4 linked regions of the Arabidopsis thaliana genome follow. The protein of the gene in region 2 purifies or fractionates together with the protein of the main gene of each other region. This does not show direct contact. Each region holds a gene or a part of one and is shown on either strand. Other genes may lie near its edges. The genes, in order: AT1G10490, EMB2775, AT3G57940 and CHR11.

Region 1 (7,846 bases), on a different chromosome or scaffold from region 2:
TTATCTCCACATGTGTGGTGAAACATAATTCAGCTGGTCCAGATCATCGATTTATTTTAAAGAGTAGATATGTTATACCTCGATGCTCGAGAAATCTGACTCCTGCAAGCCCAAACACAGGAGTACAGAAGCTTGAACATACGACAGCGAGACTGGGAGCTTCTCTTGAAAATAATGATGAGCTAGAGTTTTGCAGATGTCATAAACCTTTGAAAAGATAACAAAGTAAAAATAGTTACCAAACCAAACGAAAAGACAGAGTATCAAGCTTGAACATGCGGTTAGTATTATTTGTCTGAGTCTGTACCAGAATCTTATGATTGTGTAGTTATTTAAGCAGATTACATATCTGACTATAGTACATATTTCCCTAAAATAAGTGACTCTCAGAGAGTGAATCTAACCAGATTGAAGTCAACGAGATTGGCAGTGTATGCTCTGAATCTCTCCATATCATAAGGTGAAAGAACTCCGTCGAGTTTCTTCAAAAATCCATCTGGTGAATTTCCAGTCAAATCAACCTCTGGGAAGTTGATCTTAGGGTTCAAAACACTAACAAAATTGTGAAACGAGTATATTATCAACACAATAATACCGCACCAAGAAAAGTCTAATCATCTTAAAATAGTATTGCAGAAAAAGTCTAAATTTGCATGGGGAGAGAATATGATTAGTGCTAACCTCATTGCAAGTTTATAATCCATCTTCTTGAATTTATCACTCAACAGTTTAGAGAACCTTATCCTGAAATCTGAACAGAGTAGAAGAATTTGCCAAAACATTAAAACAAAACCTGTCATCCTTAAAAGCTACAGAAACATTTGATTCCTGTTAAGAATTTACAAACCTTTATAGAAGGGAGCAAAGAAGCCCAGTTCATCCGACTCATCAACTTCGAATTCATCGTTGCTTAAGGTTAATGGTTTCAGAAGCATACATGTGTGCTCACCAGTCACAGCACTCTGATCCAACCATATTTTAGAAATTGTGTTATGAACTGCTAGACAACACTAGAATTAGTAATTCAGGAGAAGAGGGAAAGAGGGATTCTCAACTGGTATTTGACTGATGTAGAATGGAGCAAATTTATGTTTTCTCCAGAAACGGAAGAGGTCCAAAGTAAGCCCAAAAGAGACACCGATGTAGTGGAGTCTCTCAGGTCGTCGATCACGAAGAGGAACCAGCAAAGGTGGAAGATTGGCACGAGGCTTTATCTGTTCCTCAAGCAAAGAAACCTAAGGGAAAAAATTCAAGTAAGAACTAGAATGCATGATGCAAAACCCTACAAGGGTAGATTAAAATAATCAAGAACCTTTGCAGCAGCCTCGGTAACTCTGACTGGTGAAGGCTCCACTTCCAGTTCATCATCACCTTCTGATATTGAAGCTAGCTGACCCTCAAAGTATCTGCACGTATCAATCAATTAAAATATTTGCATGTATTAATCATCTAAGTCGTAATCATTGCATTTACCTGGTCAAGAGTTCAACCGCAGCAGACCCATATCCCATCTACATAGAATGTAATCAAGAATTTGTTAAATCTCACAAGAAACCTACAAGACTAAAAAAATGAGGCGACTAAGAAACTTTACCTTCATAGCGTTGGGGTGGACTGCTATGCGTACTATACGAGCACCAGAAAGCTTTGGAAAGACCACGTCCCGGAACTGTTCACAGAACTTCCATGGTATTTGATCTCCATGTGGTGAATGACCTTCTCTTAAACTTTTTTCAGCTGATTTCCGAGATATCTGTCCTTCGAGACAGACCTGCATAAATATCAATTTCAAGGATACTTAAGACCAGTTACATCCAGAATCAATCACATACGAACGACAAGATATGAGATTCATGATTTTACAAAACAAAATTGCTGCAAACAAACAATTCAAGCAGACTGATAGCTGCTTTTATTCTTTGTTTAGTCCAACTAACTGTTTTTCTCCAAACAAACAATTTCAAAGAGCAGAGCAGAAAGTAAGAAATCGATACCTGAATAACACACAGTATGTCAGGAAGCTGGTTTTTGGACTCATCAACAGGACCTGTGCCAAAAAGAAAATAAGGCAATACTCTAAATCTGATGATTATCTCTAGCTATGAAAAGGAGGAACAATTGCATACCGAGCAACACAAACAAATGATGAGCAGGAGCATCCGACAAAAGTTGAAGATCATTAGGAGAATTCTTGTAGTGAGAAGAGACACAAAGTGCCATCATTCGCTGTAGAATACCACTTAATGCCTTATTAACAAAATATAGGTAGCAAAAAGTACGTAGGTTGTAAAATCAACTATTATTACCTGTAAAAACAACTCACTGTCCTTGTGATAAGAAAATAAGGTGTCTCGGTTGACATAATAAAGATCACACTGACTTGGCAGAGGATGGCTACAAATGCAAGAAAAATAGAAATCATTTTCTAGATCACTAGTTGGCAAGAAAGGATGGCAACATTCTATTTATATGAAGTGAAATACCATACCAAGCAGGATTTGGAAGACAATTAGCAACATCAAGGCATAGTAATCCATTAAGCCAGGATTCAATTGGATCTCCAGAAGCGTATCTTATAGACTCACTAAGTTCTATTTTCTTGAAAAGGCAACCTGAATCCAAAGAAAATTCAGACAGTCACGGAGTTCCCCAAGATAACGAATCACATCAACTAGATAGTGTAGGAAAAAGAGGATATCTAATACTACATACTAAGATATGAAAGTAGTAGGCCCTGCGTGAGAGAACATTAGTTCTAATGAATATGAACACCCATCAGACAGAGGACTACTCTGCATGAAGTTTCAATCAACCTTCGGAGGCCCTTAAGGCCAAACTTAACAACAAAACCTACGTTCTTGGAAAAAATCATTCACATATATTCCTCAAACTTAGGAATTGGAGCAATGGTTTACTTCAAAAACATAAATTTCTTTCTTATGAAAATGCTAGCTGATAAGCCCCGACGCAAAGGCATTGGAGCGATATTTTAAAAAAGATGAACTTCTATATTCTTAATAATAATATTGGGATCTCTACAAAAAAAAAATATCCAGGTTGCCACATGCCAAAAGTGAAAGCAAGATGTAGTAGTAAATACCAGAAAGAGAGCCTTCAACACCAGTGACAGGGGCTCGGCTTTGCTCTTCTAACTGTTGGAGGAGTTTCAGGGACAAAGATCTACCAGTACCTTCATAGCTTTGGCAAAGAAGGTAAAACAAACAAAAATCAGCAGCCTGACTGACCCTATATATAATCAAGCCATGCATATATCTTTCAATATCATGGGAATATAAGCATTTTACTCCTGTTTCACATACCCACTGACAGTAGATGATAAGAAAACTAGGTAAGGGCCAAGTAGAGACTTCACAACTGGCAAAGGAATAGCTGCCGCTTCATCAATAACCAACAGCTCCACTTGTGAGAGCTTTTCATGTTCATGCGGTTGTATATACTGCATGAAAAAAGAAGAAGAATAAAGCAATTTATCGATCGACACAAACTACGGCTTCTTACAAAAATTCAGGGTTGGACAGACCTGGATAGTTTGCCTGTGCTGCTTGAAGATATTGATCCGTACGATGGCTTTATTAAATTCAGGATTCACACTTCTCACGACATCATATTCAAGATGTTCCTTCAAATATATAGTTGAAGATAGAGTTCAGAAAATTATATGGTAATCCTGAATTAACATGCAAAACAAAGTAACATTTTTCTTCTTCCAGGAGATAGTGCAGATTTCAAATCTATGACAACCCCAACAAAATGGAAGAAGTCCAGCAGTTTCTAGAAAATTGCTTCATATGTGTGATGCAGAAGAAGCTCATATTACCTTATATTCAAGTGCATCGAAACCTTTGCAAACAAACTCGAAGACTGTTTTCAAGTTATCTGGGCTCGGTGCTGTTACGTAAATATTAGAGTACCTAACAGAAAATACGATATAGAATTAATAAGACAATAAATACTATTAACAAACATGAATAAAAGCTCAAAATAACTCAAGCCTACCCAGCAGCAACAGCCCCAGCAACAGCTAGACCAAGTGCAGCAGATTTTCCACGCCCACGACTAGCAATCAGAGCAACTATGCTACGGAGGGTCTTATCCAATATTGCATCGAAAAATGTGACAACAGCTTTACCCTACAAAAGAGAAAATTCAATACTGATCCAATGTGCAACACTTCTTAATCCAATGTGCACAGCTGACTAAACCACATACCTGATCCAATGTACAACACTTATTAATTAAAGGACCAACAGGAAAATCATCGTTTAGTGCATCTTTCAAACTCTTCAGGTCTCGTTCTGCCTCAGAAAGCGCTTCCGAATCCTTTTATTACAAACACATAAAATTGAAAAGTTAAAGATGCTAACTGGTATGATGGAAGACAATCTCTCTAAACAACCCATGAAAAGAAGTGTGAATTTGCTATAGAAATTACCTCCTTTGTTGGAACTTTTGTGATAGATTTGATATGAGATGAAAGTGGCAATAAATTCAACTCATCATCCATGACAACGCATGCTTTGCAAGATGCTAGTGACAACAGAAATCGTTCATTGAAACGTCCGGAAGCTTCAGAGTGTGACTCGGTTCGAAATCTATCATGCACATCCTGATATGAACAGAACCAATCATGTAACTCCAAATAAGTAGTTAGCAAACAACATAACTAGCAAAATCAGTCTTCATACCATAACCATGGTGCAGAGACTAGTAAGTGAAGCAAGCGATTGTAATAATAATACAACTAGCCCACCCCCTTCGACTGTCTCTATTGTTCTTGCTAGTAGATTTGGAGTTAGAGCTTCAAAATCCTGAACATAGTAAGAATAGGATGCAAATATGAGTAAGCTGCAGCAAAAGTAAATGTTTCTTCAGCCATTAATCAAGAGTACCTGTAAGATGCAGATGCCAAAAGTATTCCCAAGAATTCTTTCAGAATCTTTGTACAAGCAATGAGTAACATCCACCACATCAAGAAAAAGAGAGAAAGCGTCGAGTTTTTCAGGATCTAATTGTCCTCTCTCCTTCATCTTCTTCAACTGCTTAGCACGTTTTTTATTGTGACTGCACACAAAACCAATTACACCCACTCTTTTTCAGGACCAAGTTATCAACAAATAGAACTCCACAAATATGCGTAACATAGCTCACAAAACCAGGTTCCATCATTCTCTTGGCATGGAAAATTCAAAAGAAACTCACACCTAATTATTAACTAGGCTTCAATTAAGTTTTTAATAACAAAATTTCAACGCTTCAACTTTTGCAAATATCTAATATTTGAATCGGTTGATAAATCAAACCTGCTAATGTCGAGTCTATTCTTGTAGCACCATAGCACACTTGGGTTAGACTTGACCACCGATTTTGACAAAATGTGATGAAGATTAACTATCTGTTACATAACAGAATCAGAAAAGTATTAGACTTGAAATCCGAGGAAAATGCAAAGTAGAAATTATCTATAACAAGAAGAATTTTACCTGGTCACGAGCCTTATCACCAATAATGACAAACATGGAACGGTGTCTAAGTTTAACACCGTTTTCAATCAGAGTCCTTATACGTTCGTCTACCTTCTTCCTCATTCTCACACCAGTTATTGGTTTTGCCTAACCTTAATTAAGCCGAAATCAAAAATTCAATCAAACACAGGTTTTAGCTTAATGTAGAGTAAAAAGGCAGGAACTTGTTTGAAAATATCTAATGGAACATCTCAATTCGAATAAAGTTTCAAGCTTTATAGGGTAACCAATGAAGCAAAAGTCTCAAAGTTGAGAATAAACGGAGAAAAATCAAGCAAAAGAAACACAAAACCGGCTTCGATTCCTGTACTTACTCGCACTGATTACAATTCCTAACTGTAAAATTAATTCTTTCGTCGGAAGTAATGTTTGTGACAGAGAACGAACCTGAGGATGGTGAGTGAAGCGAGAAGAGAGGTAAAAGAAGCAGCTTGATGTGTGTGTGTGTGTACCAAAGCAGAGAAGCGCGCCCTAAGTCAACCATCGGTCAAAACCTTAAAACCCTAAAATTCAATAACCGACCGGTTTGTTTCTTCTTCACATTTCCCGGTTTGTAGGTATAAGACGGGTTTCTTCTCCATTAATTTTTAGCGGTTACATAAAACCGAATTGAAAAGCAAAGAAAAACTCAATAACAAGATCAACGGTGAATGATATTAAACAACAACAAGAAAACAAGATCAACGGTGAAATATGTTTCATATCCTAAAACGTCATAAGTTACTGGAAGTGATAAAAGAATGGGTTCCTGCACACGACGTGAATCGAATATTTACTATTGTGCAAATAATGATGCACGCAAATAGCCAACTATGCATTAAATTAAGAAAAACGAAGATTTTTACTTGTCTCTTAGTACACGTTTTATAATCACAGTTTCTGGAAGAAGGGTCTCTGATCGGTGTTCTACCAAATTAATTGTCTAGATCAACTGATTCATTTAAAATCAATTTAAATTTCAAAAACTTACATCTAACGCCAATGTTTTAATTATTAGATCAAGAATCATTCAAACTATTAAAGTAACCGATAATCCTTGTCCTTTTTTTTTACGTAGAACATGTTATTGTCATTTTATAAGATACTAATATAACTTAGTCTTTACCTGATATAATAATGTATGTATTGCGTTATGTATAGTTTTATTGACGGTCAAATATAACGTTTCACAATGACCAATCAATAGTTTTTGATAAATAAACTTGCTTTTAAGAAAGCAATAATGTCAATAATAAAAGTTATAATGGAGGCATATATATGATATTTACTAAATTATAATCCATAATTGAAAGAAGAATGGGTGGTACAGATGGCGAAGTCTTGTTCAACAAATGCTTTAATCAATTTAGATCAACAAGCTAACCTTACCTGGCTTGGATCTATCTTTGTCTCCCACAACATTATATAACATTATCTCTTCTTTAAACAAAAATAAATCATTTCAAAACTGATAATTAGTGGTTTATTGTTTTAAGTAGTAAGCAGTCTATCCTCCATTATGATTACATTTCACATGCCATGATAAAATGTTGCATGCATGTATGATAATAACTAAACACATTTAGGTGGCCACTTAGATTTATTTTATTTTTAGTTAGGGAAAATTATCGGTTTTCGAAGCCATATTGACAAGTGTTAAATATGGCATACTAGAACACAATGCGTGACAGAGTCCTCCATTCTGTGATTATAGCCTTCACTTCTTCCGTCAAAAACCTAGAATTTTCAGAATAGTAAAGGAAAAAAGAGATATGTAGGTTGATTTCATATTTTTATATGTCGTAAATGTACAAATTTATCTGTCATTACGTAAATTCCAACTCGGTCATACGCTCGTGTATGATTTACTCATACGTAATGCAAGGAACGATGTTTCAAACTTAACAAAAACATATTTACCAAAATTAGGAAACATACGAATTGGACAATAAAGGAATAATACCTTTTAAAAACATTTTTTTTTTTAATTAAATGGGATAAGCATCCAATACACACATAAGCAAATGGAGTTCCGTTGGTGTCGGAAGTGACATGTGTAGACAAAAATTAAAGGGACCTCCAACACTGGATGATGGATCTTAAGCTTATCATTCCAATCACGCAAATTAATTTAATATACAAACCTGCCGACTCCATTTATTATATGTATTTTTAAAGCTGTACAGTTACGAATTGATGCACATATTTGTTTGGAGATTTAATGGGAAATGTCGAATCAATCTTACACCAAATCTATTTGAAAGAATAAGATCTAAAGTCAAGCTAGTTATATCCACCACTAAATTCACTTATTCTGTTCGTTT
Region 2 (5,804 bases):
ATAAAATATAAATAGTTAATAAAATATATATTTTTTTGTATATGATGTAATTCAAATTTTTAAAATCGACATGTATTATTCAATCAATGAAGAAATAATATGTGTACAATGTCCCACATCGCTTAAAAAATTGGACATTAGTTCAAAGTCATACTAAAAAATGACCAAAATGAGTCCAGTTACGAATAAGCAGGAAGCTTGATTTATCAGACGTCCAAAATTAAAATTAAAGTGGTTATCCGGTTTACTCGGATTCTTTATTTTTAAAAATATAAACTTTACAAAGTTTATAGCTTTTTAAATATTATAATTTTACAAACTTTTTATAAAGTTTAGCTTTAAATTTTTAAAAAATATTTATAATTTTAAAACTTATGAAGTTTTGTAAATTATAAATTGAATTTTACAAAAAAAAAAAATATATTATAAATATATACAATATATTAATACTGGACGGTATAAATATATATCACTATAAATTTAATCATTATAATTTGTTAGCTACGGAAGATTTTGCCTATGTTCGGTAGAAGCCTACCGCAAATATCTAATGTTTTTTGTTAAAAAAAAACTAATGTTACTACAACAAAATTTCAGTATCTTCTAGCTCTTAGCCCTCGTCAAACCCATAGAGTTGCAAATTGAATAGCCACTTTTTGGCGTTGTTTCGGCAAGTCTTTTGTTGCAGACTGATAGGCCAAACCGCTTCCATAGTTTATTAAAATTAAGACAGTCAAGTTGAGGGAAACAAATTCAAACATCAAAAGTTAAGACGACCCACTAAACAGAAACCTTAACTTCAGAACCTCGGATCACGCATAAAATAAACAGTACAAGTGCAAGTCTATCTTCTTTTCCTCGATTTGAAGCCTCTCTTCTCTACCCAAACGTTGAAATGAGGAAGTTTTTGTATATGCTCATAAACTTGGCCACAAATGCTGCAGTGTAACACCAACTCAAAGTAAGAAGATGATATTTTTTATGTAGCCTATATCGGCCATATGCAATAACTGAAAGAGTTTATATACCTTCTATGTGAAATATGGCTTTCTGACCTAATCGCATCCGATGTTCCTGTAAGAAGGGCCAAAGACATATCATCAAGCAAGCCACCAAAACAGAAGAATGGTAACTCAGTCTCAAATGAGCACACAGAAGTTGAGATAATGGTGAGGAGAAATCAAATTCGCAATCTAAGACTAAGAGCCGTTTAAAAATACTCTTACATAATATGCAGCCCAGTGGCAGACTTCAAGCTTTAGCTCTGAGTCCAGTTTCTTCAGCAATTCATGAAGGAGTCTCTGGGAAAGCATAAACTATGAGTAAAATGAAAGAGAAAGGGACCCAAATACATAATTATATATAAGTGAATAAGGTTATGTTTAAGACCTTTAGAATGACTTCTGGTGGAATACAATTAACTAGTAATTCGTACACCTTTCCACGCACCTGAAATAACCTGAAGAAGCACACAAGAGATGATAAAGTCAAAGTTATCTTTGAAGTTCTATTTTGTAAAAGTAAATGATTCACTAGAGTCTGACTTTTTAGGGCTTTGTTCTTTCATCATGTCAGTTGCTATTTCAGCAACATACTCTTCCCAATCCATGGGAGATATCACTTGGTTACCTGTGAACGGATAGCTACAAAGAAAAAATGAATATCAAGTTGAAAGTAATGTAAAGTTAAATTTTCTAAACATGAAACAACAAAAGAATCAAACTCATTGATTATCTGCATATATAAAGTTTCTGATCCTTACTTTTGGACACGACAAGTTTCAAGTGACAAAATAGCTCTTCTTAGACTGCGATTTGATTTTTCAGCAATACGAGCAGCAAAACCCTGGGGCAGTTGCAGACTTTCTTTCTTTGCAACGAACTCCAACACTTTCACTATCTGGTACCAGAGAGCTACATTTTAGTTAACAATAATCTTGCATACTGGTTTTCGCAAGAAAGTTTACAAAGGCCAAATGAAGCAAACACTGAATCTTAGGTAATATTTCTGATAGCAACTACAGATTCTTAATAGTATATTTTTAAATCACATGAACAATAGAATAATCACAAGAACGCCGACAGTCATGAAAAATTTCTCAGTAAGGATAAAAGCAGATATATAAAGACAATTTAACTTGTTTTTTCTTGCCAAACTAGTGAAATGTACACAAGAATACGTACAAATCGATTTCTACATCGAGTTGATTTAAAGGAAAAATACGAAATGCAATTTCGAGATCTCATCTCCCATAGGATGCGCATTTTTAAGACAGGATTTGATATGAGTTTGCTCTAAGATAGCCACTAAAAGCCACAAAACAAGATGTGGTTTCTCAACACCGAACTAAACACAAAGCCTCCTTTATTGTATAAACAATATTTTACAAAAACATAGGGTGATTTTATGTACCTCTTCCTGCGAAGGTGCATTTATGCGCACATTGAGACAACGAGACTTAATGGCTTCGGTAACCTTCGAAGAGCTGTTGCAGCATAAGATGAGACGGCAAGATGAGCTGTATTTCTCCATTGTTCTCCGCAGAGAATGTTGAGCTTCTCGTGAGAGCTTGTCAACCTCATTTAATACCAACACTGCCGAAACAAAAAAAAAAAATCTGCATGTATCAGACATCTTCCAACATCCATATGTGAAAAGAAGTTGAACTACTTTGGCAGGTCATAAAGGGATGTTAGAGACCAGTGATAAGTTGATAATCAAAAACAGAGAACCATCTAAATGTATAAAGAAGCACTCAGCTGAACAAGAACTCTTAAAACTAGATATACGAGGCAACCATCTAATTGAACATGAAAAAGTAAACGAAAACTATATTACGAACCATAAAATGTAGACCCAGTCTACCACAGCAGTATACGGATTGAAGATGGCATCAAATGCCCTTATAAAAGCCTCACTCTTCATAGATGCTTCAAATAACTACTATAAGCCATTGTAATCCAAATTGTCTACACTAATGATACTATTATATAGAACAAGGGGAACAGTAATTCTTACCCTTATATCCCTTCTTTCCTTTCGTGTCAATTGGTCTGTTCTTGGCCATTTCTTTAATTATCTCCTGAACAATATATCTGTCCTGAAAGCCTGCATCACTTGGAGTAAGTTCCACATGATTGGTGCTTGATAATGTAGTGAGCTCCAGATCAATAGTTCTACTCCCAGCCTGCGTAATGTATCACAATGTTGTCATGTATAAAAGAAGAATCCGCCTAGGAGGACCACCCACTAAAGAAATTGACAGCAAACACAATTCACATCTCTGTGTTTCACAAGTAGGATGATACAATCTTAACCACATTTACTGATCCAACAAGGACACAAGACGACTATGGATATCAAGCAGCGAGAACTTCAAAATTAAAGCAATGCAACTCACATCAACTTTCCATGCCCTGTTCTCCACTTTCACCTGAAGTCAAGTAAATCAAGCAGTTTCTCAGTTGCCACATACAAAAGAAAGTAGCAATAAGAAGATAAACATCAATCTAAGAGAAAATAAAGAGTATGTGCTAGTGAGAATAACTTCCTAATGTTGCTTTGCTAAAGAACATTAGGGTTCAAAGTCTTCATCTTTTAGTAATCAGAACGATATTAGGGTATAAGAAAGAAGGATTACCTTCTCTGCACTGGCCCCATATATCTGCTTGAGAAGAGCCATAATTAGGGTTTTCTTACCAGAACCTGACGGCCCATAAAAGAGCAAATGTGGACAATCTTGCTCGGAAACCTAAGAGGAGAATCGAAAATTAGCTTCCAATTCATCGAAAACCCCTCCAAAAAATTACCTAGGGTTTGAACAAAAAGGCGTACCAATTTCTTGAGTTTTTGGGCGATATCTTCATGAACTATGACCTTGTCGAGTGATTTCGGCCTGTACTTGTCGACCCACAACATCTTTGCTCACCACCGGAGAAGATAGTGAAAGTGGCGGGAAAGAAGTGAATCGTCTTCTTCCTCTAGCAGCTTTTTTGTGTGAGACGTCTTTAGCTATTTTTCTTTCGCTTACACATTCCCACGTCAGGTCATAGGACCAAACCCTCTCTTTTGCTTAGAGTCAACATACCGGTTCGTCGGATGATACCAATTGCGGATCGGATAATGGTATTTAGGATATCGAAATATACTATCCGAAGTGTGCGCAAAAAAGTGTGGGAAAAAGCATTCTACGGATCATTCAGATATTTAAGTTCCAGTAGGGGTAGATCGGTGGTAGCATACCCGTTCGTGGATAATAGCAATCGCAGATCCGATAAGGGTATTTACGAAATTGTAAATTAGCAATTGCAGATCGAATGGAGACATGCGAATAAAGTGCGGTACGGTTTCATCTCCATTCTAAGGATATCAAATATTACTATCGGAAGAATACATTAAAAATGTGGGAAACAGTAGGATACAGATCATTCGGATATTAGCAATTACTATCGGTGGTAGCATACCGGTTCGTGGATAATAGCAATTGCAGATCGGGTAAGGGTATTTAGGAGATTGTAAATTAGCAATTGCGGATCGAATGGAGACATGCGGTTCACCTGCGGATAAAGTGCGGTGCGGTTCCGTCTCCATTCTGAGGATATCGAATATTACTATCGGAAGAATACGTAAAAAAATGTGGGAAACAGTAGGATACAGATCATTCGGATATTTAAGTTCCAATACGGTAGATCGGTGAAATTGGCCTGAAATGCATATACAGGCCTATATCATCAACATCAACAAAGGATATTCTGACCAAGGTTTACGAAAAATATACATAACTTATCATGAATTTGACTACATTACTTACCATGAATTTGATTTTATATATCCTAAACTATAACAACTTCAACATAGAGTTAGGTATTTTCACGGTCTACTTAGAGTTTCCAATAGATCTTGAATCTGTGAAACACACCAGTGACCAAACCCCAGAAGAGAATCTCCGCGAAAATGACATACATTAGCACACCAACTCTTCTTGAATGCCAAACTCGGATAAAAACATGCTCCCGAATCCAATTTATCTAAAGCAGGTATCATGATACTGTCAGTATGATAAGCCATTCAGGCCTATTTAAGATTTCAGAGTAAGTAACTGATTTTTTACCAGTGTATTGTGCGGGTGGCGATAGTACCAACCATTGAAGAAAGCAGCCAAAATGCCTTCAGCTCCCATCACGTACACCAACATTGCGTTCATGCCTATCCATTTTAGAGGCAGAAACATGTGTTTCCACTCCAATATATCGACCTGCAAACACTCGAAATAATAAACAACAAATTTGTCCAAAGTTTGTCATACGTCTTGGTTGTTGTCAATGTCAATGTGGTGGCTTAAGAATCACCAGAGAATACAACGAAGAGAAGACGAGCGCTGCTGCACCGGAGGTCACGCATATGTAGCTGAAACTGTAGAGTTGTTTGTTCAGAGGCATCACTGCAAAACATTTTTGAGTTTGTAATATATGGTAAGAGAAGAGAGACTATTTTGAGTTGGACCAAAAAGCAAGGTGTTTCTCACAGTGGGTGAAATGCAGAGTAAGTCCGAGAGCGAGGAGAACAAGACCGGTGGAGATCCAATGTTTTAGCCGCGCTGAATGTCCCTGCAAAAATATGGTAATGATGAGATTGAAAGGACAAAACGGTGATAGTTTGTAGGAGCTTGAAGCTTATGTTTTATTCAGTTTGTTGACCTTCAAGTGTAAAATAATATGTCCAAAATGGACTCCGATGATTGTAGAAAGAATAGCAGATATGGAGCTGCATAACACAAGTTTCTGAGTGTTATAAACTTGAAGATA
Region 3 (7,919 bases), on a different chromosome or scaffold from region 2:
AAGTTTTCTGCACACTATCCAAACTTTGTTCTTGGTTTCGTAAATGTAAACTATTATGACCAATTACAAAGTAATGAATAACATGAAGTTACCTCTTTCAAACGAGGGAGAGCTGATTTGATTTCCTTTCCCGCAACTCCATTGAGATATTTGTATAACTCCCTTGCGACCTTCAGGAGAAGAGAATGTATTTGTCCCCTCTCCAACTGCATTTGTCTCTGAAACATTCAAATGTGTTTGCATGTTTATTAAATATGGATTTGTTGAAACATAATGAACCAGCTGGCTGCAATCTTCAAAATTAGAGTAAAACATGTTACCTCGATGCTGGAGAAATCCGTCTCCTGCAACCCCAAGCATAGCAATATAGATGCTTGAACATATGACAGTGATACGGGGAGCTTCTCTTCAAAATACTGATGTGCCAGCGTTTTGCAGATGTCATAAACCTTTCAACGATAAGACAATGAAACAGGTTACAAACTGAAGGAGAACTGAAAGCAGTTTACAACAAAGGCATATGTTTTTACTTCTGCACCATTTCAACGTCCAATTTTGGTTCCAAGAGAATCATTACCAAAAATGTCAATTTAGTTCACAGACATTTTCAAAAGTAAACCATTCTTAAAAGAAAGAAGAAATCTAACCAGATTGAAGTCAGTCAGATTTTCAGTATATGCTCTGAGCCTCTCCATATCATACGGAGATAATATGCCGTTGAGTGTCTTCAAAAATCCACCTGATGAACTCCCTGAAGAATCAACCTCGGCGAAGTTGATCTTGGGGTTTAAGACACTGGACAAAGAATAATATGACACGAATAAATAATTATACGAAATCGATGTTATCAAAAAGTAAAGACAGAAAAATGTTATTGCTTACCTCATTGCAAGTTTATAGTCCATCTTCTTGAATTTGTCACTCAACAGCTTAGAGAACCTTATCTTGAAATCTGAACAAAAATTATGAGATACTTGGAAGATAGTGAAAGTTCAGTTCTTGATCAAGGAATCAACAAACCTTTATAGAAGGGAGTAAAGAATCCCAACTCATCGGACTCGTTGACTTCTAGTTCATCATTCTTTAAGGGTTTTAAAAGCATACATGTGTGCTCACCAGTCACAGCACTCTGATCGAAACACAGATAATAAGTGTTACAAACAACTATTAAAAAAGAAATTTGTATAAGCGAGGATGGAAATATTCTCAACTGGGATTTGGCTAACGTAGAATGGCGCAAAATTGTGTTTTCTCCAAAATCTGAAGAGGTCCAAAGTAAGCCCAAAGGAAACACCAATGTAGTGGAGCTTCTCAGGTCGTCGATCATGGAGTGGAACCAATAGAGGTGGAAGATTTGTACGAGGCTTTACTTGCTCCTCGAGCATGGAGACCTGTCAAAAATGGATTCAGATAAGAATGGAAACAGAGAAATAACTATTATAGTAAACTTAAAAAAGAAGCAGATTCTGCACTAAGTAACAACCAAAGCCCACATAAATAGATATATAGGAAAAACCAGAAACCTTCTCAGCAGCCTCAGTCACTTTAATGGGTGCATGCTCCACATCAACTTTATCTTCAGCTTCTGAGATTGGAGCTATCTGACCCTCAAAATATCTGCAAATATCAATCAGTATTAGTAAGAGAATGACCACACCTAATTAAGAGTACAAAGTCCAAAATTTCAAGAACAACATATAACATTGCTATAGGTAATGCATGAGATAACATCATTACAAACTTGTATGCACATTCCATGAATTTACCTGGTCAAGAGTTCAACTGCAGCAGAACCATATCCCATCTACAAAGAGGGTAATCAGAAGCTTGTTAATCGCACACAGAACCTAACTGGACAATTAAAAATATGAGCAGAACTAAATAAATACCTTCATGGCGTTAGGGTGGACTGCTATGCGAACTATCCGAGCACCAGAGAAACCTGGAAATTCAGTGTCCCGGAATTGTTCACAGAATTTCCATGGAATTTGGTCTCCGTATGGTGAATGGCCATCCCTTAAACTTTGAAGGGCAGAGTTCTCAGATATCTTTCCTTCGAGACAGACCTGAATATAACAGCTACAATGATGCTTAAAATCACACATATAAATAAGGACACAAGCTAGAGAAACTATGATTTTCGACAAAAACTGGAAAAAAGCAGTTATAACAGACTGATAGCTGATACTTTAATCTTTATTAGTCCATTTGATGAAGACTGATGAATCGCTGTTCTAGGTCAATGTGAGCACAGGATAAGCAAAAATATACCTGGATAACACAGAGTATATCAGGAATCTTGTTTTGGGACTCATCAACAGGACCTGCGTTTAAAAGCAGTTAGGAATAGTTCTGAAAATTAAATTAGGTGTGGGAAAAGGACAAGCAGCATACCAAGTAACACAAACAAATGATGAGCAGGAGCATCAGCCAGCAGTTGAAGATCATTAGGAGAATTCTTGTAGTGAGACGAGACACATAGCGCCATCATTCTCTGTAGGATGCACTTATATCAGTCTATTGTCAAAATAATGTACGGATCTCAATCAACTACATTTACCTGTAGAAACAATTCACTATCTTTGTGATAAGAAAAGAGTGTGTCTCGGTTGACATAATAGAGATCACACTGACTTGGCGAAGGATGGCTACACAAAAAGAAGAAAGAAAAGACAAATCAAATAAAAAACATTTCTAGACAATCAGTAACACTAGAAAGGATAGTAGACACTATAAAATTTTAGTTAAAAATTCATACCACGCAGGATTAGGCAGACAAGTAGCAACATCAAGGCAAAGTAGGCCATTAAGCCAGGATTCTATTGGATCTCCAGAACCGTATCTAATAGACTCAGTAAGTTCTATCTTCTTGAAAAGACAACCTGTCCGAAGAAACTTGAGAGAATCAGGGGAATGAATCACATTAACTAGAACTGCCACAAAATGCAGGTCCTGCGAATATAATTAGCGTTGCTACATATGAAGAATTCATCAGACACTAGTAAAGCGGGCTACTTTGCATGGAATTTAGATTAATCTTTGTAAGCCTCTTTAAGGGAAAAAATGAAAACGAAGCTCTAAACAATAAATAGGGGTATCTGAGCGATGATTCTAAGAAAAACGAGTCTATCCTCTGAAGGATGATAGAGCGGTCTCTAAAAAATGTCCCTAATCATTTTCATAGCCAAGAATGAAAGCAAGGTGCAGCAGTTACATACCAGAGCCTTCAAGACCAGTAGCAGGAGCCCGACTTTGCTCATCTAATTGTTGGAGGAGTTTCAGGGACAAAGATCTCCCAGTGCCTTCATAGCTTTAAACATAAAAACAAAAAAATGGGTAACATACAGTAGCATGATTATCCCTGAATTAAAACCAGAACATGCATATGACTTTTTAATAGCATCAGATCCAGTTTCACATACCCACTGACAGTTGAGGATAGGAAAACTAGATAAGGACCAAGCAAAGACTTCACAACTGGTAAAGGAATAGCTGCTGCTTCATCAATAACCAACAGCTCTACTTGTGAAAGCTTCTCATGTTCGTGTGGTTGTATATACTGCATAAAAAATATCAAGAGCATGGAACACGTCGGAAAGGGACTCAAATCACAGCTTGAAGATCATGAATTAATTGAGGGATTAACAAACCTGGATAGTTTGTCTATGCTGCTTGAAGATATTTATCCGTACAACAGCTTTTTTGAAGTCAGGATTTGCACTTTTCACAACATCATAATCAAGGTGCTCCTATAAAAATAATAATGGAACGTAATTTAGAACCATATATGACCACATCGCAAAATGGTTTAATGATTTCTTCTATCCTTGAGATAGTGTAGGTCTATTCAATAATTATCTCAATAACTATGCATATGTCTCTCACCTTGCAGGTTCTTCTCAATGAAATAGAACAAATACAATATAAAAATAATCTGTAGGAAAAGAACTTTGCATTACCTTATATTCAAGTGCATCAAAGCCTTTGCAAACAAACTCAAAGAATGTCTTCAAGTTATCCGGGCTTGGTGCAGTTATGTAAATATTTGAGTACCTAAGAGCAAGTAAATCACACATCAATAATTCTCACAAACATCCAGAAAAATTAATACTGATGAGTAGAAGAACATATAGTAAAATTAATTCAAGAAATCTACCCAGCAGCAACAGCCCCGGCAACAGCTAAACCAAGTGCAGCAGATTTTCCACGTCCTCGACTTGCAATCAAAGCAACTATGCTGCGGAGAGCCTTATCCAAAATTGCATCGAAAAATGTTACTACAGCTTTACCCTACAAAATGAAAACGCAGAATCTCCTACAATTTAATATCAACCATGCAACAAGAAAGAACATTAGCAAGACATAAAATTGATAGCTTTGAACCTGATCCAATGTACAACATTTCTTGATTAACGGACCAACAGGAAAATCATCACTTAGGTCTTCTTTCAAACTCTTCAGATCCCGCTCTGCCTCAGAGAGCCCCTCGGAATCCTTTAGTAGCACATAACATTGTAAAGTTATCAATTCTACCTGGAACTTTGGATAACATTCTCTCAATTTGCTACAAGAATTACCTTTTCTGTTGGAACTTGAGTAATAGATCTGATATGCGAGGAAAGCGGCAAAATATTCAACTCATCATCCATGACAACACATGCTTTGCAAGATGCAAGTGAAAGCAGAAAACGTTCATTGAAACGGCCGGCAGCCTCAGAATGCGATTCAGTTCGGAATCTGTCATGGACATCCTAATAAAAAAAAGTCATGTCACATTACTTAGATAATGCTTTTCTCCCACTTACTCAAAAAATAAGAAATTAAACTGTGGTTCATACCATAACCATAGTGCATAGACTAGTAAGCGATGTAAGTGATCGCAATATCAATACAACCAAACCACCACCTTCCACAGTCTCTATTGTTCTTGCTAGTAGATTTGGAGTTAAAGCTTCAAAATCCTGAATTTATCAAGAAGAAATAGTAACAATTACTCACAAAACGAAACAGGGACATAAGGCAGTCATCCTAAATGAATATAAATAAGAAGAAAAGTACCTGTAAGATGCACATGCCAAAAGTATTTCCAAGAATTCGTTCAGAATCTTTGTACAAGCAATGAGTGACTCTTCCAACATCAAGCAAACGCGAGAAAGCGTCAAGTTTCTCTGGATCTAACTGTCCTCTCTCCCTCAATCTCTTCAGCTGCTTCGAACGCTTTTGCTTATGACTGCAAACAAACGATACAGACTCTCACCATTACTGAAAAAAGCTATCTTCTTTATTCAAAGGACAATCAGAAATTTCACATTCCATTCTACACTTGTGCCCAGCTAAATTCTCAATATATATATCACAAGCATAAAATGAGCTAAAAGAGAATCATCTAAAGCCTTGAGAATTTGGGATTAAGAACAGAACCTGCTAATGTCAAGTTTATCCTTGTAGCACCACAACACACTCGGATTACATTTAATAACTGCCTTTGACAACATATGATGGAGGTTCACTATCTGTTAGAGAAAAAAAAAAGGTTGAAGATTTAGTATCCAACAAAACATTCTCTCAGGGAGATAAGTGTCCAAGTAGAAAACTTTCGAGAACCTGGTCACGAGACTTGTCACCAATGATTACAAACATGGAACGGTGTCTCAATTTGACACCGTTTTCAATCAGAGTCCTGATACGTTCATCAACCTTCTTCCTCATTCTCGCAAAACTAGCTCTTCTTCTTCCTCCTACTTAATCTTCTTAACACAGACAAAAAAAAACCCAAATTCAATAACAAAATATGGGTTCTGCTTTCGAGTGTTGGTAAAAAACGCAACTGACGAAGAAATCAATTTCCGTTTGGAACTGAATTTTAAGAACAACACCAAAATAAAAAAAAATAACAAGGACCACCGGAACAGAACTTAGGGTTTCTAAATTGTTGAGTAGGGTTTAGGACCGAAGAAATTATGATTTTTCTGCTTTGACCTTTTTGTCCTTCTTACTCAATGAATGAATCATTCATAACCGAGTACTAGACCGAAATGGTTTAATGCCACTATTCATATAAAATCGGGTTCAATAAAGTGAACTCTAATGGGCATAAGCATAAAAGGCCCAGTAAAAGAAGAAGCCCGGGAAGAATCATATGTGTCTCTCTCTTTTAGTTTTTTTTGTAGTTGTTAGTGGTGAGTCTGGTGACAAAATCCTTTGTTGAATGTTTTTGAAAACAATTTTGAAGCGATGTAACTTCAATTTATATAGCTGATGAAGCTGAATTACAAAATGTGATGATTTTGACATATAGAATATTATTAGTATATAGATAGAGAGAATAGAGAGATAACAAATAAAGTGAACTCTAATGGGCCAAAGCCCAAACGTTAAAGGAAAAGAAGAAGCCCGTGGAAAGTGTTTTGAAATGTTTGGATGAAACGCGGCTATTAGCTGTCGTCTCTTATCCAACCGAACCCAACGAGTTCGAAAACGAGTAGAATGTGAAAGCACGCGCCAAAAAGGGGGCGCGTGGGTGAAATCCGTATCCATCTTCAACGGGCTTAAGATCCATTTTAGTCAGTCTCAGTGATGGTAGTGAGAAGAAAAAGCGTCATTCTTACGTTTTTCTTTTAAGTTTCACTCAGAGACAGAAGCTAGAACAAAGAAAAGAGAAGCCTTTTGAAAGCAATCAACTTTAATCTTTTTCAACCAACACTAGTACTCTAGCTGTTGCTCTTTCTCTTCGTTTTCTTCCTTCCTTCTTCTCTTAGATCTCTTTCTTTTAACTTGAGTCTTATCCTTTGGATTTTTATTCGATTTGATTCCTCCGTTTGGTTTGGTCAGTTTTCTTTAGACTCTTAGTCTTTCCTCTGATCTGGGTTTTAGCTGTAGAAACTCGTGAGTTAGATCGATTGAGAACCCAACTATAAATTAGTAAAAAGAGAAACCCTTTATAGGTTTTTTGGGGTTTTTGTCTCAGTCTGACCAATGGGTTCACAGGTGAGTCTCTGTCTCTCTGTTTTGAAGAGATTGTAAGGAAACTAGGGCTTGTTTTCTTGTTTAGACTGTTCATGCAATTAGTTTTCGTGGAAGATAATTGATTGAACTTGCTTGTAGCTTAGTTCTTGGTTTCTATTGAGCTCTAAAGGATAGGTTTTTAAGAGATGAAATTGTTTAATGTCTCGTGACTCAAGTGTTGCTTATATATGTTTCCTTTGTTCAGATCTTTTTGGAAAGAATTTGTATTTGGATGTTGTTAAATAACTTGTTCAATGCACTGCTTCTAATGCATGAAAAAAATGGAATCTTGCTTTCGTGTTTATGATTGCGCTTGTGTTGATTCTTCAATGAATAGTTCCTCCTCTATGGAGTGTCTGCCAGTTTGAATGATCCTCTACTTTTGTGCATATCGAAAAAAATGACATTGCTTTTCACACTTTTTAGTCTGCATTCTTCAACAAATTTCTATAGTGTTTGAGTTTAGTTCGCCTTCATTGTGTTGTTGTGAGGTATGAGTTACTACTGGTAATTAAAAAGCAACCTTTTCAACTTGCAGGTTTCTTGTCTAGTTGCTTGAGGTTTTTGGTTTTTGGTTTGAATAGAGTTATGAGAAGAGGTAGAGGAAAAGGCAAGAGGCAGAATGCTACTGCTAGAGAAGATCGAGGGAGCGGCGAGGAAGAAAAGATTCCAGCTTTTAGGAAAAGAGGGAGGCCACAGAAGCCGGTGAAAGATGAAGAAGAAGAAGAAGAAGAGCTAGTGAAGAAGACAGATGAGGAAGAAGACAAGGATGATGATACAAATGGTTCAGTAACAAGTAAAGAAAATGTGACAGAGAATGGGAGGAAGAGGAAGAAACCAGTGGAGTCTAAAGAGAGCAACATAACTGAAGAAGAGAATGGGGTAGGGTCAAAATCAAGCACAGAAGATTCTAT
Region 4 (7,578 bases), on a different chromosome or scaffold from region 2:
AGTAATAAATTGTGGAAAAAATCGTCTGTTCATATATCCCTCAGAAACTCATAACTTTTGCTTAAGCTTCAGCCTAAGTTGCCATCCAATGGCCTCAAATCCTTTTGTTCAGTTTCTTTACGGAAGAGAAGTCTACAAAATTATAATTAAGTCATTTCATTAAATCCAAGTCAAACCAGGACAAACATTCATGAAAGCAGAATGAAATCCATTTGCTATGTTTTTAACATTAGCTTAACTATATGTAACAACAAAGACTCGACAGATCCGTAAACACATAATCTCATCTCATCGACAGGTGCTTCCGCTTCTTCGTCGATGAAGGACTCTCACTTGCTTGTCTTCCTAAAGGTCGCTTTGATGGTGTTGCACTCTTCAAAGATTAAAAACCAGAAAAGCATTAACCACCTAAAGAAATCAAATCAAAAGAATACAACCTTATACATGAAAATATTGCATTATTTTACCTTCGCGAGCTTCTTCTCTTTGCGGGCTTGCCTCTCTCTTTCATCAAACTCCTGGTTCTCTTTCTCGATCAGTCGAATCAGAGTGTCGCATCTTCTTGCAAGTTCCTGACTCGTGCGGGATTTCACAAACCAGTCAAACCTGAACACAGACGATGTCCTAAATGCTGCCTTTAGCTCATCCCAATTCCCATAACCAAGTTTGTGAATCATGCAGATCTGTTTTTCACCACCAAAGTTCCTCAACAGTCAAAAACTTCATGATATAATTAATGAGACAGAACAGCAAAAAGGGAAACGAGAAAAAGACATACCATGAAACGGTCACACTCTTCATTGTACAGCTTGCCTTTGTTCTGACCATATTGAATCTTCAGTTCCAGCCAAGGGTTTCTGTAGCGATCCAGTTTCTTCCCTATGGCCTTCATGATTTCGTCTTTCCTAGAGATCCTTGCCTCTCCCCTCTCAATGTTCTTAATGATTCTATCATAGTCTACATATTTAGAGGGAAAGATGATAAACTTACTTAGCATAAGCTCTTTTTGGAGGTAGGAATTACTTAGAAACATGTAAAAACACTGCATAACTTAGCATTGAAAGGTGTTACTTACCGTTCAGCTCCTTGTACCGCTCTTTAAATACTTTGGCATATCTTTCAACTTCTTCCTCTGTTTTCCCTTCCATCTCAGAGGCAATGCTTTTTATGTCGTTGCGGCCATACTTCTCACAAGCCCTGAGGAAAGTATTAAAATCTCTTCTGCTCCATGTTGAGAAACCCTGGAGATTGACAATTACAAAAAATTAATTAAAGCCTACCAAATCAAATGTCTAAGACCACTCTAACATCAAACATATTCACTTGCCTCCTCCAATAATCCCTCCTTTTCTTCTACTTCTTCAGTAGTTAAGGGATCCCCACCTTCTAACAAAAAAATTCTTAATCAGTAATAGGTTTGCTGAAAAACATGTTAACAAAGTGGGTACATGTTAACAAAGTGGGTACAAGCTTGACCTTCTGGTTCTTCAACATCAATTGTGTCTTTCAACTGATTTTTCTGATGTGTTTGCTGAAACCAAAAAGCACAAAAAGAAGCAAGTTGCTTTTATAAGGCAAAAAAACTCGCTCTTAAGCACATCAAAGGAATCAAGTGTTTCGTTTTGAGAGAGGCCTACCATGAGATAACGTACTTCCTTTTCATACAACTCGGTCAATCTCTGAATGTTAAAGAACTGGAAATCGTGCCTGAAAGAGGGACAATAAATTAGATTTCTAGTGTAAGAAAATCATCAAAACAGGGAAAAGGCATTCAACAATGAGATGGAGGTTGTTGAGGTACTCACAACTGGGGCATGCGCGGAATTCTAGGCTCTTTAGGTTTAGCTGGAGCACCTTGCCGCAATGTTTGCTTAAAGTACTCAGATTCAGAGTAGCTGAAGATACAGTAGATAAAACAAAAGGGATGTTTCTTTTAGATATGAAGACTGGCAAAATAGGACTGCACAATGTATAAGACAGAAGTAATCATTACTTGCGCTTTCTCTCCCGCTTGGGGGGATCATTCCAATTGTCGCTTACAATCTTTTTAAAATCGAGCTTGTTTTCATCCTATGAACAAATTTACAAATATATTAGTAAATTTTATCATCAGTAATGCAGAGCAAAGCTAGGGATATGACATGAAAGTTAAGACTATGCAAAGAAATATACAAGTTACCTTATTGTCATCATCAAAATCATAGAAGTCAGCACCTACAACAAATAAAACAACAGATTATCAAAACATTACAATATTCACACAACCTAATAGGGGAAATAGTAGGTAAGTGACACCCTTACTGTCATCCATTTTAAACTGTATAGCATCTTCTGTGAATTTCTTCATCTTAGCATCAAGTTCAGCTGTTGCCTCTTCTCCTTTGGCAATGATTCTATCAATATCCTCGTCTGTGATTGTGCTATCTTTAGAACTGAACACCATCTCAGCACCATATCTTACCATTTGAAGCAACTCATCCTTATTGACAGCTGCATAGTTAAGATAAATACCAATTCTGTCAGAGATGAACCAATGCATAAAGCAATCACTGTATAACGCACTTACTTTTCTGTTCTGCCAATCTCCCTTGTTGAATAACCAGAGCATCAAGTGCTAACTTCTTGTAAGCTCTTTCAATCACTTTCTCCTCAATAGCAGACTGTAAACAAACAACACATAATTAATTTTAAACCTCTCATGGCTGTTTTAACTTGAAATTCACGGAGAGGAGACCAACCTCAGTGCAGAATCGAAACACTTGAACTTCTTTTTTTTGACCAATCCTATGGGCACGATCCTGAGCTTGCAAGTCGACTTGTGGGTTCCTGCCAGAATATGCCAGACTCGTCAAACGTGAAGAGAAAGTTCATAAACTACAGTGGACAATGATGAGAGACTTACCAATCACTATCGTAAAGGATCACAACATCTGCAGTAGCAAGATTGATACCAAGCCCTCCAGCTCTAGTAGATAACAAGAAAACAAATTTCTCACTTCCTGGCTTGTTGTAGGCTTCTATGGAGGCATCTCGTTCGTCACCACCAGTGTTTCCATCAATACGGCAATACAAGTAACCACGATACATTAAATAGTCCTCAAGAATATCCAAAAGTCTTGTCATCTGACATGTGGAAAGAAAAGAATAAGGCTCAGACTTTACATAGACAAAGGAAAAAGAGAAGATGAACTGTAAGAAACCATTATATCCAGCTGTTCTGTATTAGCGTTTACCTGAGAAAATATCAGCACCCTTGAATCACGTTCTTTCAACTTAGGAAGCAATTTATCCAAGAGAACCATCTTACCTAAAATAACAATATAGAGATGCTTCATAAAAAACTTCCACAGAAATCTGAAGGATCTAGTTTATTTCTAGCCTTACCAGCATTTGTTATAAGGTGATCTCCTGTGGTATATGGGGGACCAGGTTCTGCACCCTGGAAGAGATAGGGGTGATTGCAGCATTTACGCAGTTGCATTGCAATGTTTAGCAGACGTTTGCGTTCTCCACCAGCATTAACCGCTTCAAGATCCTTCTGCAGTAAAGCCTTGTAGTATTGCTTTTGCATCTGAGACATACCAACTTTAAGTATGGTCTCCTTCTTCGGTGGCAAACCTTTCTCAACATCTGACTTTAGTCTTCGAAGAAGAAATGGTCGAAGAACCTAAAAAGATACATGAAAGCAATTAACCTACGACTCACACAGAACAGAATAAACTCAATGCAAGGAATGGGTGCATCCATACCTTGTGCAGTTGTTGCACAACTTCTTGCTGGTCATTCTCACCAGAAATTTGAAACCATTCATCAAAAGTCTCTGCTGAACTAAAAATCTCAGGCAGAAGAAAATTTAGAAGAGCCCACAGTTCATGGAGATTATTCTGCATATATGAGGACAATATGAGTACAGCAGGCTACACAGTCATTATACGGTAAATATTAAAAGTGCCCGGAAAAGCAAAAGTTAAGAGTGCAAACAGAGCCGTACAAGAAAGGTTGTTTCAACATTCAATTAGAAGCAACTTAACAAAGAAAACTTCAATGTCCAAATATTCAAGAATAAGATAGAGCAAACACCTGAAGGGGGGTCCCCGTGATAAGAAGCCGATAATTGGTGCTAAAAAGTCTCATGGTTTTAGAAAGGAGTGAATTCTCGTTCTTGATTCGATGCGCTTCATCAATGATAATATAACGCCAGCTAAACCGACGAAGTGCTGTCTTCTCTTTGATGGCCATCTCAAAGCTTGTGACACAAATATCAAATTTCCCAGCAACTAGCAGGTCTTCTCGAATATGTCTCTGCATCAGTTAGCAGACATTTCAGAATCCTGGGATAAACGTTTACATGAAATTCTGAAATGGCAGACAGCTCATGACTTACCCTCTCCTCAGGATTACCAAGGAACTTCACAGCACGTAGGACAGGACAAAACCGGCGAATTTCGTTCATCCAATTACCAAGTGTTGATTTTGGAGCAACCACCATATGGGGACCATTGATTCCCCTGTATTCATGAAGATATGCCAACAAAGAAATCGTTTGAAGCGTCTTCCCCAGACCCTAGACCACAGGGAAAAAAAAGTTTCATGATTAGCATGACAGAATATAGAGAACTTATTCTGCTTGGATCGTTGGGGGAGAATTATTTACCATTTCATCAGCAAGAATTCCATTTATGCCATTCTCATAAAGACGAATGAGCCAGTTCAAACCAGCTAATTGGTAATCTCTCATCTTCCCTTGAATACCTGTCGATTGAGAAGAAAAATAGATGAATCTCAAGCTTTCCCAGTAATTTACGCTATACTACATACTAACTGTGAGGTCACAAAAATATGTATGGTTACGCAAATGGACGGAGATGTCAATCATATTGTACTTGTTGCTCGAGACTAGAGAGACGATTAATATACAGTAATCCTAGACTAAAGAGCAAAATACAGGTACTTACAAGAGGGCTGTGTGAGTAACCGTGTGTTTCCAGATCCAGTTAAGCCATCCTCTTCTTCCTTTAGATACTCTTCGTCTTCCTCCTCTTCAGTTATTTTGGAAGCATGACGTCCCCTGAAGGTAGAAGTTAAAACCACATAAATCAGGGCCTGGCTCATCATATTTACTCTGAAGCTAGAAGCAATGATGAACCGATATTTTAGGAAAAAATTGCATCTAACACACCTTCCTTTTGCCTTCTTCTGAGAAGAAGATCCATCACTTTTAGCAAAGTGGGCAAATAACTCAGTTTGCTGCAGAAGATACTTCAGTCTCCCTTTTCCCTTATTGTTCTAAAACACATGGAATGATTCAGAATCGTCAGAACTTAAAAGCACGAGAACGAAAAGTAGCTAAAAACCTGAAATATATAGTTCAAACAACGCACCATATCCGCGTCAATGGAAGCATTCTGCGACTCCAGCATCTCTTGAATCTTCTGCTTCTTCAACTTCTGCATCTCTTTAAGTCTGGCTTTCTCACGTTTGCTGATTTCAGCTTTTTCCTCATCTTCTTCGTCCTGCTTATACCACAATGAGCCACCATGCGCAGACATTCAATGAACTTTCACTCAACAAAAATTCGACTAAAACTAACAAACGAAGGAAGACGCGAACGCCGAATCCATTGCATTAAATGAAATTTCAACTTTCCAAGTACAAAAAAGATGCAGTTCACTGAGATTTCAAAAATCACAGCCATCAAAACGAAATTAGCCTGCAGCTACCTCGTAATCATCTTCTACGGGAGCAGCCTCTCCGTCGGAGACTGGTGATTCGTCGGCGGCGGCTACTTCGTCATCGTCGGAGCCAGAAGAACGAGCAACAGCCTCGAGCTCCTCCTCATCTTCTTCTTCATTATCCTTAACCCGCTCTTCTTCCTCCTCTGACGAGAAAGCCTCATCGGAATTCGAATTTCTCGCCATGGAAGCTACGAAATCTGCTTTCGCCTTGAGATCGAGGGTTCGCTTCGCTTGTGAGAAAGTAAAATAAAGATTTTAAAAAAAAAGTGAAACTTTAGATACAAATTGCAAAACGACCGAAGCTTCAGGGTAATTTGTAACCGTTGATTAAGCTGAATAAATATATGGCTACGATGTAACTAGTCGCTTCATCGAACGGGGAATTAGTAATTAATTACCCGCCACCTGAGCAAGAGAGTTGTTTTGGAACATTCGCGATTTGGGCTTTGTTTAATCATAGTTGGGCCTGACTGACCCATAAGACCCACTTTCAAGCCCGATATTTTCCCCAACTTATTACTATGCTGGAGCTGCTCGAGAAAGATTCTCCAGTTACACTATTTTTAATCTTTGTGATTGATCATCGCCCCCAATTTGTTAAAGCTATCTCTAATTTTATATATTTGGATTTACTAAAACCAGTTAGGTATTATTAAGATATGAAATAAAAATCATGATGAGTTCATATATATTATTACTGTTAGGTCTGACTTTTTTTGTGTTGTTCTCAGACTTGTGCAGTCACTCTGTATTGGTATCAAGAGATAAAGTTTGGTGATTTTGCTAAGACAAAACTACTCTATTTCGACTGGATTAGTATCTGAAATAGCTTTATCCATGTTAAAACATTATAATATGTTTGAGAAGTGCTGAAGTGGTCATGCTACTGGGACATTTGTTTCTTGCAGTTTAATGTTTTTACATAAAATAAGATATCCATTTACATGATTTGCAGCCACAAGCAGAAAGCAAAGTGATACCTAAGAGCATGTATAAAATTACCTTTTTCATGCAGATGATTGGTTAACCACTCCTACTGTTCTTTACTCTCCTTTTTTGTATTTTGTTTTTGATTACCGTCGCCCAATTTCCTCACCAACCTTCCCGGGGTTGGCCTAACACATTCCCATTGTATATATCTACATTATCCATAACTTATACCTATAGAAATATATTAATTTTTCTATTAATCAAAAATAGATATGCATGCAAAATTTGTTGTAACAAACATTATATGTTAACGTTGAAATAAAACTACAACATCTAGTGAATTTTCCAAAAACTATTTCGAAATTTTAAACAATGAAAAATGCAAGCTAGAAATTAAATGAATTGATATTCATGTTCCTGTATATATACATTAGTGAATAGTGTAAATAAATATAAATTTGTTTCTTGGCGTGTGGGTAATAACTACAACTCATCACCGGGACTATCTATATATATATACTCACAAATAATCTCATGTAGCGGCCAACTTCATAACTCACAGTCCAAACTTAACCACAACCTAATCCACAAAAGAGTTATAGAATCATCTGATGGCGTCTACTGAGAACCCTGACCCTGAAACTGGCAAATCTGAACCGATTCCCGCGTCGGCTACACCACCACCCTCATCAGCCGCCAGTTTCCTAGATTGTCGTAAAATAGACATTATAACAAGAGTTCTGCTTTTCTCCGCCACTCTGACTGCTCTTATAGTAATGGTGACTAGCGACCAGACAGAGATGACTCAGCTCCCTGGAGTTTCGTCTCCGGCTCCTGTCTCCGCCGAGTTCAATGACTCGCCCGCTTTCATGTTTGTCTCTTTAATTAATTAAATTCCTCCATGTTTGATCAT

The links.
Region 1: the proteins of EMB2775 (region 2) and AT1G10490 fractionate together in Arabidopsis thaliana (co-fractionation; one large-scale study listed by BioGRID). This does not show direct contact.
Region 3: the proteins of EMB2775 (region 2) and AT3G57940 fractionate together in Arabidopsis thaliana (co-fractionation; one large-scale study listed by BioGRID). This does not show direct contact.
Region 4: the proteins of EMB2775 (region 2) and CHR11 fractionate together in Arabidopsis thaliana (co-fractionation; one large-scale study listed by BioGRID). This does not show direct contact.

The regions. Positions count from the first base shown.
Region 1 is NC_003070.9:3,451,349-3,459,194, reverse strand, and holds the start of AT1G10490 (GNAT acetyltransferase (DUF699)), read right to left. Parts: upstream 6,005-7,846; 5' UTR 5,931-6,004; intron 5,636-5,930; 5' UTR 5,607-5,635; coding exon 5,502-5,606; intron 5,414-5,501; coding exon 5,322-5,413; intron 5,083-5,321; coding exon 4,911-5,082; intron 4,830-4,910; coding exon 4,707-4,829; intron 4,628-4,706; coding exon 4,454-4,627; intron 4,342-4,453; coding exon 4,231-4,341; intron 4,152-4,230; coding exon 4,018-4,151; intron 3,933-4,017; coding exon 3,839-3,932; intron 3,641-3,838; coding exon 3,542-3,640; intron 3,458-3,541; coding exon 3,321-3,457; intron 3,199-3,320; coding exon 3,101-3,198; intron 2,613-3,100; coding exon 2,489-2,612; intron 2,395-2,488; coding exon 2,307-2,394; intron 2,227-2,306; coding exon 2,127-2,226; intron 2,048-2,126; coding exon 1,995-2,047; intron 1,772-1,994; coding exon 1,595-1,771; intron 1,512-1,594; coding exon 1,474-1,511; intron 1,407-1,473; coding exon 1,313-1,406; intron 1,236-1,312; and 10 more. UniProt on the Arabidopsis thaliana protein: RNA cytidine acetyltransferase with specificity toward both 18S rRNA and tRNAs. Catalyzes the formation of N(4)-acetylcytidine (ac4C) in 18S rRNA. Required for early nucleolar cleavages of precursor rRNA at sites A0, A1 and A2 during 18S rRNA synthesis.
Region 2 is NC_003076.8:9,821,945-9,827,748, reverse strand, and holds EMB2775 (ATPase family associated with various cellular activities (AAA)), read right to left. Parts: upstream 4,237-5,804; 5' UTR 3,919-4,236; coding exon 3,835-3,918; intron 3,752-3,834; coding exon 3,641-3,751; intron 3,434-3,640; coding exon 3,401-3,433; intron 3,188-3,400; coding exon 3,019-3,187; intron 2,595-3,018; coding exon 2,413-2,594; intron 1,900-2,412; coding exon 1,763-1,899; intron 1,644-1,762; coding exon 1,545-1,643; intron 1,460-1,544; coding exon 1,390-1,459; intron 1,302-1,389; coding exon 1,227-1,301; intron 1,075-1,226; coding exon 1,029-1,074; intron 939-1,028; coding exon 880-938; 3' UTR 506-879; downstream 1-505. Other genes in the region: AT5G27730 (heparan-alpha-glucosaminide N-acetyltransferase-like protein (DUF1624)), read right to left, coding at 4,881-5,027, 5,111-5,254, 5,349-5,440, 5,525-5,606, 5,697-5,763. UniProt on the Arabidopsis thaliana protein: May be involved in DNA replication and thus regulate cell proliferation.
Region 3 is NC_003074.8:21,447,350-21,455,268, reverse strand, and holds the start of AT3G57940 (GNAT acetyltransferase (DUF699)), read right to left. Parts: upstream 6,016-7,919; 5' UTR 5,710-6,015; coding exon 5,605-5,709; intron 5,514-5,604; coding exon 5,422-5,513; intron 5,231-5,421; coding exon 5,059-5,230; intron 4,962-5,058; coding exon 4,839-4,961; intron 4,752-4,838; coding exon 4,578-4,751; intron 4,495-4,577; coding exon 4,384-4,494; intron 4,291-4,383; coding exon 4,157-4,290; intron 4,054-4,156; coding exon 3,960-4,053; intron 3,750-3,959; coding exon 3,651-3,749; intron 3,560-3,650; coding exon 3,423-3,559; intron 3,311-3,422; coding exon 3,219-3,310; intron 2,883-3,218; coding exon 2,759-2,882; intron 2,649-2,758; coding exon 2,561-2,648; intron 2,495-2,560; coding exon 2,395-2,494; intron 2,325-2,394; coding exon 2,272-2,324; intron 2,067-2,271; coding exon 1,890-2,066; intron 1,805-1,889; coding exon 1,767-1,804; intron 1,618-1,766; coding exon 1,524-1,617; intron 1,392-1,523; coding exon 1,212-1,391; intron 1,130-1,211; and 10 more. Other genes in the region: AT3G57930 (rho GTPase-activating gacO-like protein), read left to right, coding at 7,594-7,919. UniProt on the Arabidopsis thaliana protein: RNA cytidine acetyltransferase with specificity toward both 18S rRNA and tRNAs. Catalyzes the formation of N(4)-acetylcytidine (ac4C) in 18S rRNA. Required for early nucleolar cleavages of precursor rRNA at sites A0, A1 and A2 during 18S rRNA synthesis.
Region 4 is NC_003074.8:1,939,406-1,946,983, reverse strand, and holds CHR11 (chromatin-remodeling protein 11), read right to left. Parts: upstream 6,012-7,578; 5' UTR 5,919-6,011; coding exon 5,721-5,918; intron 5,514-5,720; coding exon 5,382-5,513; intron 5,287-5,381; coding exon 5,180-5,286; intron 5,069-5,179; coding exon 4,956-5,068; intron 4,753-4,955; coding exon 4,655-4,752; intron 4,565-4,654; coding exon 4,385-4,564; intron 4,303-4,384; coding exon 4,081-4,302; intron 3,885-4,080; coding exon 3,750-3,884; intron 3,668-3,749; coding exon 3,385-3,667; intron 3,308-3,384; coding exon 3,234-3,307; intron 3,124-3,233; coding exon 2,903-3,123; intron 2,827-2,902; coding exon 2,739-2,826; intron 2,661-2,738; coding exon 2,567-2,660; intron 2,491-2,566; coding exon 2,296-2,490; intron 2,215-2,295; coding exon 2,180-2,214; intron 2,071-2,179; coding exon 1,994-2,070; intron 1,896-1,993; coding exon 1,806-1,895; intron 1,708-1,805; coding exon 1,638-1,707; intron 1,532-1,637; coding exon 1,477-1,531; intron 1,387-1,476; and 12 more. Other genes in the region: AT3G06390 (Uncharacterized protein family (UPF0497)), read left to right, coding at 7,277-7,536. UniProt on the Arabidopsis thaliana protein: Possesses intrinsic ATP-dependent nucleosome-remodeling activity. Constitutes the catalytic subunit of several complexes capable of forming ordered nucleosome arrays on chromatin. Involved in the formation of nucleosome distribution patterns.